3 linked regions of the Lonchura striata genome follow. The protein of the gene in region 1 interacts with the protein of each later gene in a biochemical or structural test. Links are inferred from orthologs where the notes say so. Each region holds a gene or a part of one and is shown in the gene's direction. Other genes may lie near its edges. The genes, in order: NR2F1, BCL11B and BCL11A.

Region 1 (3,742 bases):
CGCAACCAGTATCGTGCGCTCTCACAGAAGAACACCGAAACGGCAAGAAAGAGAAGAGGATTTATTTACCGACCTACTTTGGATCTCTCTTTTTCCTGCAAGTGTCGTTATTATTCCCGTTCTCTATTTTTACACTTCGCCGTGAATTCGTCTCCTCTGCGAATTTAGTCACATCCGATTTTTTTTCTGCGATTTAAAAAAAAAAAAAAAAAAAAAAAAAAAAAAAAAAAAAAGGCGAGAGAGAGCGCGAGCGAGCGAGAGAGACAGAGAGCGAGAGAGAGCAGCTCGGGAGAGAAAGAGCAGCGACCGGCAACCTCCTCCTCCTCCTTCCCTGCCGCCGCGACAGGAGATCAAACTGCCTCAGCTCCCTGCCCGCCTCCGCCGAGCTCCCCGGCTCCACCGCCCTGAATGGCTGACGGCGCACTGCCCTGGACCTGGCCCCCGGACACCTCCATACTCTGATCGCCGACGAGCGGCTCCTCTCTCGACCTCCCGCCTCCCCGAGAGCCCACACCGGCACCGGCGGCAGCGACAGCGGCAGCAGCCTCCGCGGGAGCGGCGGCGGCCGAGCCCCGGCGGCGACGAGCGGCGAGCGGCGACCTCCTCCTCCTCCTCTTCCTTCCCCTCCTCCTCCTCCACCTCCTCCTCCTTTTCCTCCTCCTCCTCCTCGGCGGCGCCGCGGCTTCCTCTATGCCTGCACATCCTCCGCGCTCGTAGCGCCCGGACCGCGTGTGCCTGTGCCCGTGCGTGTGTGCGTGTGCGCGAGTGGGGAGCCGTGTGCCGGGCATCTGCGCGCGTGTCTGCCTGCGTGTGCGTGTCCGGCGTGTTACTCTCCTGAATGCCTCTCCCGACAGCCTTGTTTGCCGTTTCTGATTTTGCAACTTGAAGTGGCGGCGGGGGGGGGGGGGGGGGGGGGGAGGGCGAGGAGAGGCAGTGAGAGCCGGGGAGAGCGGGAGCAGAGGGGAGAAGCGGTCAGGCGGGGGTATTTTAAAGAGGGGGGAGCGCTGGAAAGGGCAGGGAAGGAAAGGAAAGGAAAAGGAAGGGAGGAAAAGGAAAGGAAAGGGGGGGGGAAGAGAGAAAGAGAAAATCCTCCGTCGCCCCCTCCCCCTCTCTAAAAAAAAAATTAGCAAGAGCGCGAGCGAGAGGAGGGGGGCTCTCGGCGGCGAAAAATAAATAAAATAAAGAAAACGGCAGGAGCGGCTCCAGCCGGCAGCAGCGGCGGCGGCAGCAGGGCAGCGGCGGAGGCAGCAGAGGCGGAGGCAGGCGGCAGCAAGGGTCCCCTCGCTCTCCGCTCGCCCCCGGCGCCCGGGCGGCCGCCACCCCCCCGCCCCCCGCCTCACTCCCCGGCAGCCCGCAGCGAGACGCGCCGCTCCCCAGCACTTTTTTGGGCCCGAGATATGGCAATGGTAGTTAGCAGCTGGCGAGATCCGCAGGAAGACGTGGCCGGGGGCACTCCGAGCGGCCCCAACCCGGCCGCGACGCAGCCGGCCCGGGAGCAGCAGCCCCAGCAGCAGGGGAGTTCGGCCACCCCACACACCCCGCAGACCCCCAGCCAGCCGGGACCCCCCTCCACGCCGGGCACGGCCGGAGACAAGGGAGCGGGCCAGCAGGGCTCGGGGCAGAGCCAGCAGCACATCGAATGCGTGGTGTGCGGAGACAAGTCCAGCGGCAAGCACTACGGCCAGTTCACCTGCGAGGGCTGCAAAAGTTTCTTCAAGAGGAGCGTCCGCAGGAACTTAACTTACACATGCCGCGCCAACAGGAACTGTCCCATCGACCAGCACCACCGCAACCAGTGCCAGTACTGCCGCCTCAAGAAGTGCCTCAAAGTGGGCATGAGGCGGGAAGGTGAATATTTCTTCACTACTATGCTATCGCTCCCCTCTCCCCTTGGCTGTGCAGGCGTGCGTGTGCGAGGGCTCTCCGTCTGTCTGTGTCTGCCTGTCCGTACGCGCACACACGCGCACCTATATGCATATACATATAGCTATACACACACGCGCGCGCGCACACGCGCGGCGTGCAAACACACACACATATAAATATAAATATGTAAAAATAAATACACACACACATATATATATATGTGCATATATATATATATATATATATATATATATATTTACAGCTCTCCGTAGCAATCCAGCCAGGACTCTCTATATATTTCCATGCACATGTCAATCTCTTCCTCTGCCTGCACTCCATCTGGCAGCTTTGCACCAGGTTCTGTTGTTATTGTCGATGGTGGTTGGTGGTGTTTTCTTTTGCTTTTCGGTGTGTGCCTCCTGCCCTCCCTCCCGCTCCTCCCCACCCCCTTCTACAGCACTGCCACACTCTCCCCTTTCCTGATAATTGTGCAGAGAATTTATTATTATTATTATTATTACTACTATTATTACAATCGCTTGCTAAATATTTATCATTTAGCCGCTATCCCCACTTCCCCCTGCTCGCGCGTGTATGCGTGTGTGCGTGTGCGTGTTTTAGATGTGGTTTTGTCTATTGTTGGCATGAGACCGGAGGGTGGGGGGAGATACATCTTTCTCCCGTACGAGATGTGACTCCATTCAGCTTCCTTCCCCCTCACCCCCTCCCCACCCCCTTTCCACCCCATCATTTCTTTTTAAACCTGCAATACCTCTCGGTATTTGAGATTCATCTCTCAGGCTCATTTTACCCGAAAGAAAGATGAAAGACTTGTAATTAAAGAAAGAGGAAAGGGTGTGAAAAAGATAGAAGGGAGAAAAGGGAAAAAAAAAAAAAAAAAGAAAAGGGGAGGAAATGTGCTACTCTGTCTTCGCTTCCATGTGCTTCCCGGTGCCCAGGAGTGTGCTTCTGTGAGAGATTTGGCCTTGTTTTCATTCCATGCATTCAAAGGAAAGTTTGTGACTGAACCGTGTTTCTGTACTTCTGTCATTTTTTTTTTTTTTTAAGTGCGCTGCTCATTTTATTTCTGCATCAAACTCCACCCTCTCCTTAAAGTCTTCATACAAATCTCGATTTATAACCTCTTTACCGGTTCTTCTCATTTTAGCAGCATCCGCAGCCTGCATCTGGCACGGGGTCCCCACTATTTCCAAGCGCTCTGCTGATTTTTTTTCTCCTTCTTTCCAAAAGTTGTCTGTGGTTTTCCTTGCGTTCAGACTCATCCTCGTGTAGGGAGAATTGCTGCCCTCCTTTCTCCTTGAAACATGTTCTCTCGGTTTAAAGTTTACCCTGTGACTGTCGTTAAAGATGTTCTAAAGATGTCACGTCAGCAAAATAGGTGATTTTGCAGAGCAGGGATTTTAAAACTGTATTTTATATGCCACGGAAAAAGAATTTGAATTAGGCTGCTCCAGATCTGAAAGAGCTCACAAATATGATGGCTTCATTGGTAGTTGCAGGGGCTGTTGGTAGGCACCTAGGAGAGTGGAGGCAAGCAAATTTTTTTTTAAAGGAAGGAGAAAAAATTAAAAAAAAAAGTGAGAATTATGCATGCAGTTAAATGAAAAATATCTGCCAAGTTTACAAGTAGATTGAAGAGGGAGAGGTAGGCTGAAGGGCAGCAGGACAGAGATCTGGCCCGGGTGGGAGGAGGGCTCGTCGGGGAAGAAAAGAGAAAGTTGAGAAAAATGTGGCGCGCCGGAAACATGAGTGATTGCATGTGCGGGTGTGTGCCTGCAAACGTGTGCGGTTGTGCGGGGTGTCTGTGTGTGCAGGGTACAAGCCTGAGTAGCCGTATCTTCCCCTGAAGTTACAT
Region 2 (3,742 bases), on another chromosome or scaffold:
CGGGTACAGGCTGGTTCTTTGGTTTTCTGCTCCATCTGCCTCCGAGCCCTCAGGCCTCCCCTCTACCCCGTTCCTCTCGCCCTGGCCAGACCTGGTGCTGAAAAGCTATTTGCACCGAACTGTTTACTTATCGGGGGAGGAGGGAGAGAGAAAACAATTTCTGGAGATGGACCGGGAGAACGGAGGTAGAGGGGAAAAAGTTGGCTTCCAAGAATCTTCCAAGTTAGAAATGCACGCAGTTGTGGGCATTTACCTGCGTGTGAAATAGGAGGACAAGTGCACTGGGATGCAGCTTCTGGGAGCTCGGCGTCTCTCCGTTCGTGGCTGAGACTTAATTTCTCCAAGGAAAAATAGTCTCTGCCAGGATTTTAAGGGAAGGGGGGTTGGGGGGTGGGAGAAGGTCGGAGCGTGTGTGCGTGTGCGGATCGAGTGTGCGCGCGTGTCCCGCTACCATCGCACTTCGGGTAGGGAGAGAGGAGGGGGAAAAATCCCTTTCCCCAGCCCACACAGATATTTGTGTTGTTGTAAAACTGTTTGAAAGAAATGCAGGGGGAACGCGCTCGCCGCCGAGGAGCTGCGGCGGTGCCTGGAGGGAAGGAAGAACAGCCTGCGACCCCTGGGGAGCCTCCGCTCCTGGGCAGGGACGGAGGGAGCAGGACCCAGCGCCGAGCCCGGGCGGCGGAGAGCGGCGGCCGCGATGAGCGGCGGCGAGGCGGCGGCACGGGCGGGCAGCGCCGCCGCCGCCCCCCGCGGACCCCGGCACCCTCCCCCGGCCGAGCCGCCCCCGCCGCGGCCGGCGCCGGGCTCAGGAAGTTTGGCCGTGCGTGAGGATGCGGATTTATTCCTTCCCCCCTCTCTTTCCCTGGCCGCCGGCGCTCCGCGCGCTGAAAGCGGCGCTGCACAAAGCCCGGAGCGGCGGCGAGCCCTGCGTGTGCCGTAGTTGGTGTGTGTGCGGTGTGTGTGCGTGTGCGGTGTGTGCGGTGTGTGCGAGTGGCGTTTCTTGTTCTCTTGCAGGGTACAATGTTAAAAAGCCACCGCTAGTCGCCCCCAGTGCTCCTACTCTCTGGGTCTTTTTGTCTCTAGTGCAGATTAAACGTCACGTCCGCACTTGAACTTGAATTTTATCCCATTGTACAGAGGCAGCCCCAGCCATAGAGAGACAGAGCGCTCCCAGAGAACCAGGACTCCGCCATCTTCACATTGCAATATATAATAGTAATAGCCAGCACCAGCCCAGCTGCACTGGGGGCTTCCTTCCTTCCAGTCCCAGTGCCAGGCGAGGGGGGAAGAGTGCAAAGTGGTGCAGGAGCACTGGCAATCCAAAAGCACCAGGGCAAAGCAGTGCCACTTGAACTGGGAAAGAGGAGACACAGTTTCGGCTACCCCTTTTAAAAAAATTCTCTCTGTATATCTACCCAGCAAGGGTCAATCTCTGAGAAACATTTTTTTTTGGCGATTTTTTTTTTTAGTGGGGGCTATCCCAATTCTAGTACTTTTCTTCTTCTTTTTTTTAATACAGTTTTTTAAATTTTTTTTCTTTTTTTTCTTTTTCTTTTTTTTTTTTTTTTTTTTTACCCTCTTGGTGGAAAAGCGAACTTGCCAATTTGCCAAGCACTCTGGAAAGAGGGAAAGAGAAAAGTGTCACTGGCGGTGCACATCCTCCTAAGTTCAAGAAGAGATCTGGAAGTCCAAGTGGCAGAAGCAGTGGAGAAAAGACAGTGTGTGAAAGAGAAAAAGAGCGAGAAAGAGCTTTTCCTGATGATGATGATTTTTAATTGAGAGGGAATCCCAACCAGTGCACCACAGCAGCAACAAAAAGGAGGCGGTTTTTTTTTTTTTCGTTTTTGATTTTTTTGAAAGAAGAACTCGATAAAGAAGAAGAAGAATAAAGAGGGGAAAAAAGGAGGAGGAGGATCGGCCCCCCAGCACATCCCCCCAAACCAGTGCAGCTCTCCAGGCGATGCCAGTGTAAATGCCAGGGCAATGTCCCGTCGCAAGCAGGGAAACCCGCAGCACTTGTCACAAAGAGAGATTATCACACGTAAGTTTGAACTTGGAACCAGAACGAGCCGAAATCGAGAAGCAAAATTAGGGAAGGGGAGGAAGCGGTTGGGGAAGGGGGGGTGTGTGTGTGGGGGAAACTCCAGGAGCAACCAAAGCTGGTAAATGACTTCAGAGAGAGGGAGAGGAGAAGGGAATTAAAGAGGGGAGGGGGGTGTGCGGCGGGGGGGATGGGCTGGGGGTGGAGGGGGGGAGAAGCCCGAAGTTTGCTGTGCGTTTTTGCAGCGGTGCGGAGGTGAGGCGGCCAGGCGGCGTGGAGCGGGGAAGGAGCTGCCGGCGGGCAGAGCGCGGCGTGGGGCGGCGCGGGGCTCTCCCGGGCAGCGGCTGCGTGCGCGGGGGGCGGCGGAGCGGGGCGCGCTGCTCCGCGCCGGGCCGGGCCACCCCGGGCCCCGCCGGGGCTCCGCCGCTCGCCCGCGGCCCCGCTCCTCGCTCCTTGCTCCGGGGGTAACACGGAGCGGTGGGAAAAGTTGGCCGAGAGCCTTGCCTCGGCGTGACAGCCGCGGAGGGTGGGGGAAGGAGGATCAAGGTGGGCAGCAAGGGAGGGAGACGCGGAACGGCCGGGGGGACTTAGCGGGAAGCACATGGAGGCTGTGGGCCGGCGGCGGCGGGGCCGAGCCCCGGCCCCGGAGCGCGGGGCAGGTAGACGGCCAGCTGCGCCCTGCCCGCCCCAGGTGCATCGCCGGCGGGGGAAAAGAACTCTCCGAAGCGCGGGGCAAGGCAGGACCAGCTCGGCTGGGGCTAGAGGCAGGGCAGGGGCTGCCGAGGAGCCGGGTGCGGGCTGGAGTGTCTGTCGGTGGCGGGGGGCGCGAGGAAAGCCGAGGCGGGGACCGGGGATGGAGTGCACGAAATGCGGGTCGGGCAGCGGCACCGGCTCGCCTGCGGGGCAGGAGTGGAGGCAGCACTTTGCTGAAGCTCCCATTGTAAGTGAAAATACACACATATACTCCCTCCCGCCCCCCCTACGCCCTCCCCCCAAAAAAAAAAATAGGGAAGGAAAAAATAGAGGGGGGGGGGGAGGGAAAGAGGCATCCCCCCTCCCCCCAGCATCAGAATCCCCCTCCTCCCCGTTCCCACCCCTAAAGCTCCGGGAGAGGGGCGAGTGCCTGCAGGCAGAGTAGGGGGCAGGTCCCCGAGCGGGCGCCCCACTCCGCTGCTCCGCCGCTCCCGGCCCCCGGGGCCTGTGCAGCGAGGCGGGGGGGAGATGTGGGGGCGCCTCCGGGGGCGTGCGGCCCCCAGCGCTCCCCGCTGCTCCCACGCCTCCGGGGCACGGGGAAGGGGGAGGTCAGGGGGGTCCCCATCTCCCTCCTATAGCATAGGACAAGTTTGGGGGGTGGTAAAAAAAATGCCCGGCACGCCGTGGCCCCGCACCCGACAAGCCCGGTCGGACCCCTGCCCCCCCCCCCGCCCCGCAAAACGAGTCCGCAAGTTGTTGTGCTGCGGGGGGCGGCGGCTCGCACGGAGCCAGCCCGGGGCTGAGCCTGAGCCGCGGCGGATCCGAATATTTATGTTGAGATTTTAAAAAATTTAAATAAATAAATAAAATATTTCCCCGGCTTCTCTCCCCTCCCCTGAAAGCCAAGAATAGGAGCCATCTGCCAGGAGCATTTGGTGCTTGCGAGCTCTTCTCTTTCTTTGTTACCGGTGATAAATTTCTGTTTGTTAGATTTCCTTGGGACTCGAG
Region 3 (3,742 bases), on another chromosome or scaffold:
CCGCAAGCAAGGCAAACCCCAGCACTTAAGCAAACGGGAATTTTCACGTAAGTAACCCGGAGAGCAATTTATTTAATTTACCCTACACTGATTTAATTTTTAATTCGAGAGAGAGAGTAGGGAAAAAAAATTAAAAGTGAGAGCCATTGAGCGAGTCGGGGAAAAAATTAACTCAGCGCCGGCTCGGGATTCTCAGCATTCCGGGCAATTTCTGCCTCTCTAATTTAATCACCTTGATGACTTTTCTTCTTTTTCTGCCCGTGCCCCTCGCCCGCCGGCGCGCACTCCGCTGCCCCGCTCCACGCTCTCCTCTCGTCTCCCGCTCTCCGCGCTCTTTGGCGGCAAGAGCGGCAGCTCTCGCCCGGCACCAGGAAAGGCGCGGACGAGGTGCGGGGCTGCCGGGGGCACAACCGGCCGAAAGTGGGAAGAAATTCCTGCGGGAGCGGCGGGCTGGACGCCGGACACGGCGGTGGCCGGGCGGGCGGGATGGGCGGCGAGCGGAGCGCGGAGAAAGTCCGGCGGCCGGAGCCCCCCCGACTGCCGGCGGGGTCGCCCCCTCGCCCCGCGGCTCCCTCCTGGCGGGGGGGGAGGCAAAGCCGAGCCAAGCGGGGACGCCTCCCTTTTGTTTCCGCCGCGGGGTGCGGGGTGGCCGTCCCGCCGCTCCCCGCCGCCTCGGGCCGGCGCCGTGCGGGGCTCCGTCGCCCCGACCTCGCCCCGCGCCCGCCCCGCCGCCGCTCCGGCTGGGGCTGGGGCGGGGGACGGCACCGGGCGGCGAGGGAGCCGAGCCGAGCCGCGCCGCGCCGGCTGGGATTCCCTCCTCGCCCTCGCCTCGCGTTCTCCCTCTCGCTTACTATTTTTTGGAAGATTTTCAAAAAAAAAAAAAAAAAAAAAGTGGAAGTGGATTTTGATTGGGAAAAATCTCGTGTCTGAATGTTTACAAGCACCGCGTGTGCGGGGAGCCTCCTGCCAACAAACACAGGCGAGAGCGAGCCCGGGCTGAGCACACACGCGCGCTCACACGCACACACACACACTCGCACCCTCACACCCGCGAACGGCCCTTTCTCGCCGCCGCATTTCAACCCCAAACCAAATGCGCTCTCCCCGGGAGTGAAAAAACAAACCCCGAGCCCCACCACACCGTTCGCAACAAAAACTCTCCGGCTCCCTCCGTCCCTCCCTCCAGCCGCCGCCACACACACCAGGGCTAGATGCAAGATAAGCGGGAGCGCTCTTTTCACAACAAAAGGCAACTCGAGCTGGAAAGGTTTGGGGCGAGGGGGGTGGGAAGGAAGGGCGAAAAAAAAATATCCCCTTTTCCTCGGGGTGAACCTGGGGGAAGGGGAAATGCTGCATGTTTTTCCTCACTCCTTTCCTCCCCTTTTCTTTATTTCTTCCTTTCTCCCTCTCCCATTAGTCCCGACGGGTTTTGTTCCCTCCCAGGGATGGCAGAAGACCCAGGGCCATTTCTTCCTGCCAACCATCCCCGGCTCCCTCGGCCCTTCGCAAAGCCCCCCAAACTTTCCGCCGCGGGTTCTCTTCCCCCACGGCCGCCCAAACATTGCAGTCAGGTTCGCACATGGAGGGAAGGAAGCAGCGCTGGCTCTTTGCAGGCGTCCGCTCCGCCGCGAGCAGGGCCGCCCGGGGGCTCTGAGTGCCCAAAGTCTGCCCTAAGAACCCGGGGGGTGTCGGGGGCTCAGCCCCTCCCCCCGCCGTCTCTTTCTCCTCATACTTTTCGGAAAGCCTTTTTTTTCCGCCTCTTTTTTTTTTTTTTTTTTTTTTTTTCATTGCCGGGCTAGGGATGGGGCGCAGCATCGCTGGCATATGGGCATGCCTCCCCCCCCGCCCCCGGAAATGGGGTACGGGGGTGCTTTTCCCGGGCAGTCGTGGAAGTGGGATGCGGGGAACGGGGATCGCGGCGGGACTGGAGGAGGGGGTGGGGGGCTCAGGCTCGGCCCCCGGGGCAGCGGCGACGGGCGGGATCCCGCGGCCGGTTCTCGCCGCCGACAGACCCGCGGGCCGGCGCGGAGTGCGCGCACGTGCGGGCCAGGAGCGGCGGCCGGGACAGGCCCGGGGGGTTCCTCCGGCGAGAGCCGCCCCGGCGATGGGGAGGGGGGTGTGGGTGGGCCGGGAGCTGGGGGGGGGAAAGGGAGGCCGGGCCGAGGGAGCGGCGCGCCAGGGATGCGGCGGCGGGGCCGGGGCCGGGGCTGGGGCCGGGGCGGAGGCGGCGGGCGGGATCCGTGCCCGCTTCGGTCGCTAGGAGGCACAGCGAGATCAAACAACCGGGCAGCCCCGCGAACTTGAACCTGGCCGGCTCCTCCGCTGCCTCCCGGCCGGCGGGAGGGGGAGGGCGCCCAGCTCCCTCCCATCCACCCCCCCACCCCCCCACGCCCCTCTTCCCTCTTCTTTGTTCTTAATTTGCGCGGAGTTTGCTTGCTCCGGGATGTAGCGGGGATGCTCGCCTTCCCCCTCCCCGGGTTTCCCCTCCCTCCCCATAACGTGTTGGCGGTTCCTATTGTGCCCCCAAGTCTCCCTTTCCTCGCACCGCTGTGATCCGAAGACACAAACTTGGGATTAAACAGCCCTTCTCCATCCTTCCCACGGTACGGTGCAGGAAAATGCCCCAGCAGCGCATCTGCATTGCCCCGCGGGCATTTCTCCTCACCGTACTGTGGCACCCCCCTCCCCGCCCCATCACCCCCAGTACCTCCTTTCTCCCGGCACTCCAAAATCCATCCCTCTTTTGCCGGTGCGGTTGTTCTGGTGGCTGGGAACAGGGAAAAAAAGGGGGGAGTAGGAGGGCGAAGGGGGAAAGCTGAAAAGACATGTTGGTGGAAGGGCAATTTGCATGAAAAATAGAGACGGATGATTAGGGACCCAGCCAGAGAATTTTGATTGCCCCAGAATTAAAAGATGCATCCTGCAAATCGGAGGCAAAACCAGGTGAAATCTGGTGTTTTTTTCGTAATCCCGGTATTTTATATTATGTTCTAAAAGTAGCAGTAATAATAAAAAGCATTTTTTTTTCTGGCTCTGCCTCCATCGGGAGCCAAATGTTTTGCAGCGAACACAGTGCCAGCCGTATTTCATACTTTGGTATATAATTCTTGTTAATTAGCAATAATTTACGTTAAGAGCATAGAAAATGTTGAGGTTACAGGTTTTATATCTGTACATTTGATCATCTTGTTATTTTCAAGAACTTTGCCTCCTATAAAATTAATTAGGTGAAATGTGGAGGTGTAATCAGCAACCTCTGAATTACCACTTCATTTCCTGGTTTTGATTGTAAATCAGCCCAGTCCGTACAGACTTTTAGCAAAGTCTTTTTTCGCTCAGTGCCACTTTTAACTGTCTGGTGTCGAAGCAGCGGGTTACCTTCCCCTGCTAAATAATAATGACAGCGTCAGAAAGGAATCAGGAAAACATTATAATTGAGTAATGATTATGCAGAGCTCCTCACTAAGCCAGTTGCAAGGGGAGCACGGGTGGTTTTGTGTCGTTTTGCTGCGAAGAGTCGGTGAGATCGAAGTTAGATTTGCAAAATACCTTTGTCTGCGGCGAGCAGCGAGCTACCGGTGGAATTAGACCTGAAATAATTTATTCCCTCGGTCCGAACGCAAGGATCGGCTTAGGGAGAAAAACGCCATGCCCGGCAATCCCTCAGAAACACCCCGCTCCTCTGCCGGCTTCCCGAGGAGCATGAGACGCACGTTGTGCCTCCTCTCCTGTTGGTCTGTAA

The links.
Region 2: the proteins of NR2F1 (region 1) and BCL11B form a complex in vitro, tested with the Homo sapiens proteins (2 studies listed by BioGRID). The link is inferred for Lonchura striata from reciprocal best matches to the Homo sapiens genes NR2F1 and BCL11B.
Region 3: the proteins of NR2F1 (region 1) and BCL11A form a complex in vitro, tested with the Homo sapiens proteins (2 studies listed by BioGRID). The link is inferred for Lonchura striata from reciprocal best matches to the Homo sapiens genes NR2F1 and BCL11A.

What each region holds. Positions count from the first base shown.
Region 1 is NC_134642.1:68,476,064-68,479,805, forward strand, and holds the start of NR2F1 (COUP transcription factor 1), read left to right. Parts: upstream 1-1,328; 5' UTR 1,329-1,397; coding exon 1,398-1,848; intron 1,849-2,048; exon of another isoform or gene 2,049-3,742. UniProt on the Homo sapiens protein: Coup (chicken ovalbumin upstream promoter) transcription factor binds to the ovalbumin promoter and, in conjunction with another protein (S300-II) stimulates initiation of transcription. Binds to both direct repeats and palindromes of the 5'-AGGTCA-3' motif.
Region 2 is NC_134608.1:12,724,444-12,728,185, forward strand, and holds the start of BCL11B (B-cell lymphoma/leukemia 11B), read left to right. Parts: upstream 1-1,543; 5' UTR 1,544-1,983; coding exon 1,984-2,041; intron 2,042-3,742. UniProt on the Homo sapiens protein: Key regulator of both differentiation and survival of T-lymphocytes during thymocyte development in mammals.
Region 3 is NC_134605.1:25,459,959-25,463,700, forward strand, and holds the start of BCL11A (BCL11 transcription factor A), read left to right. Parts: upstream 1-896; 5' UTR 897-930; coding exon 931-1,267; intron 1,268-3,742. UniProt on the Homo sapiens protein: Transcription factor. Associated with the BAF SWI/SNF chromatin remodeling complex. Binds to the 5'-TGACCA-3' sequence motif in regulatory regions of target genes, including a distal promoter of the HBG1 hemoglobin subunit gamma-1 gene.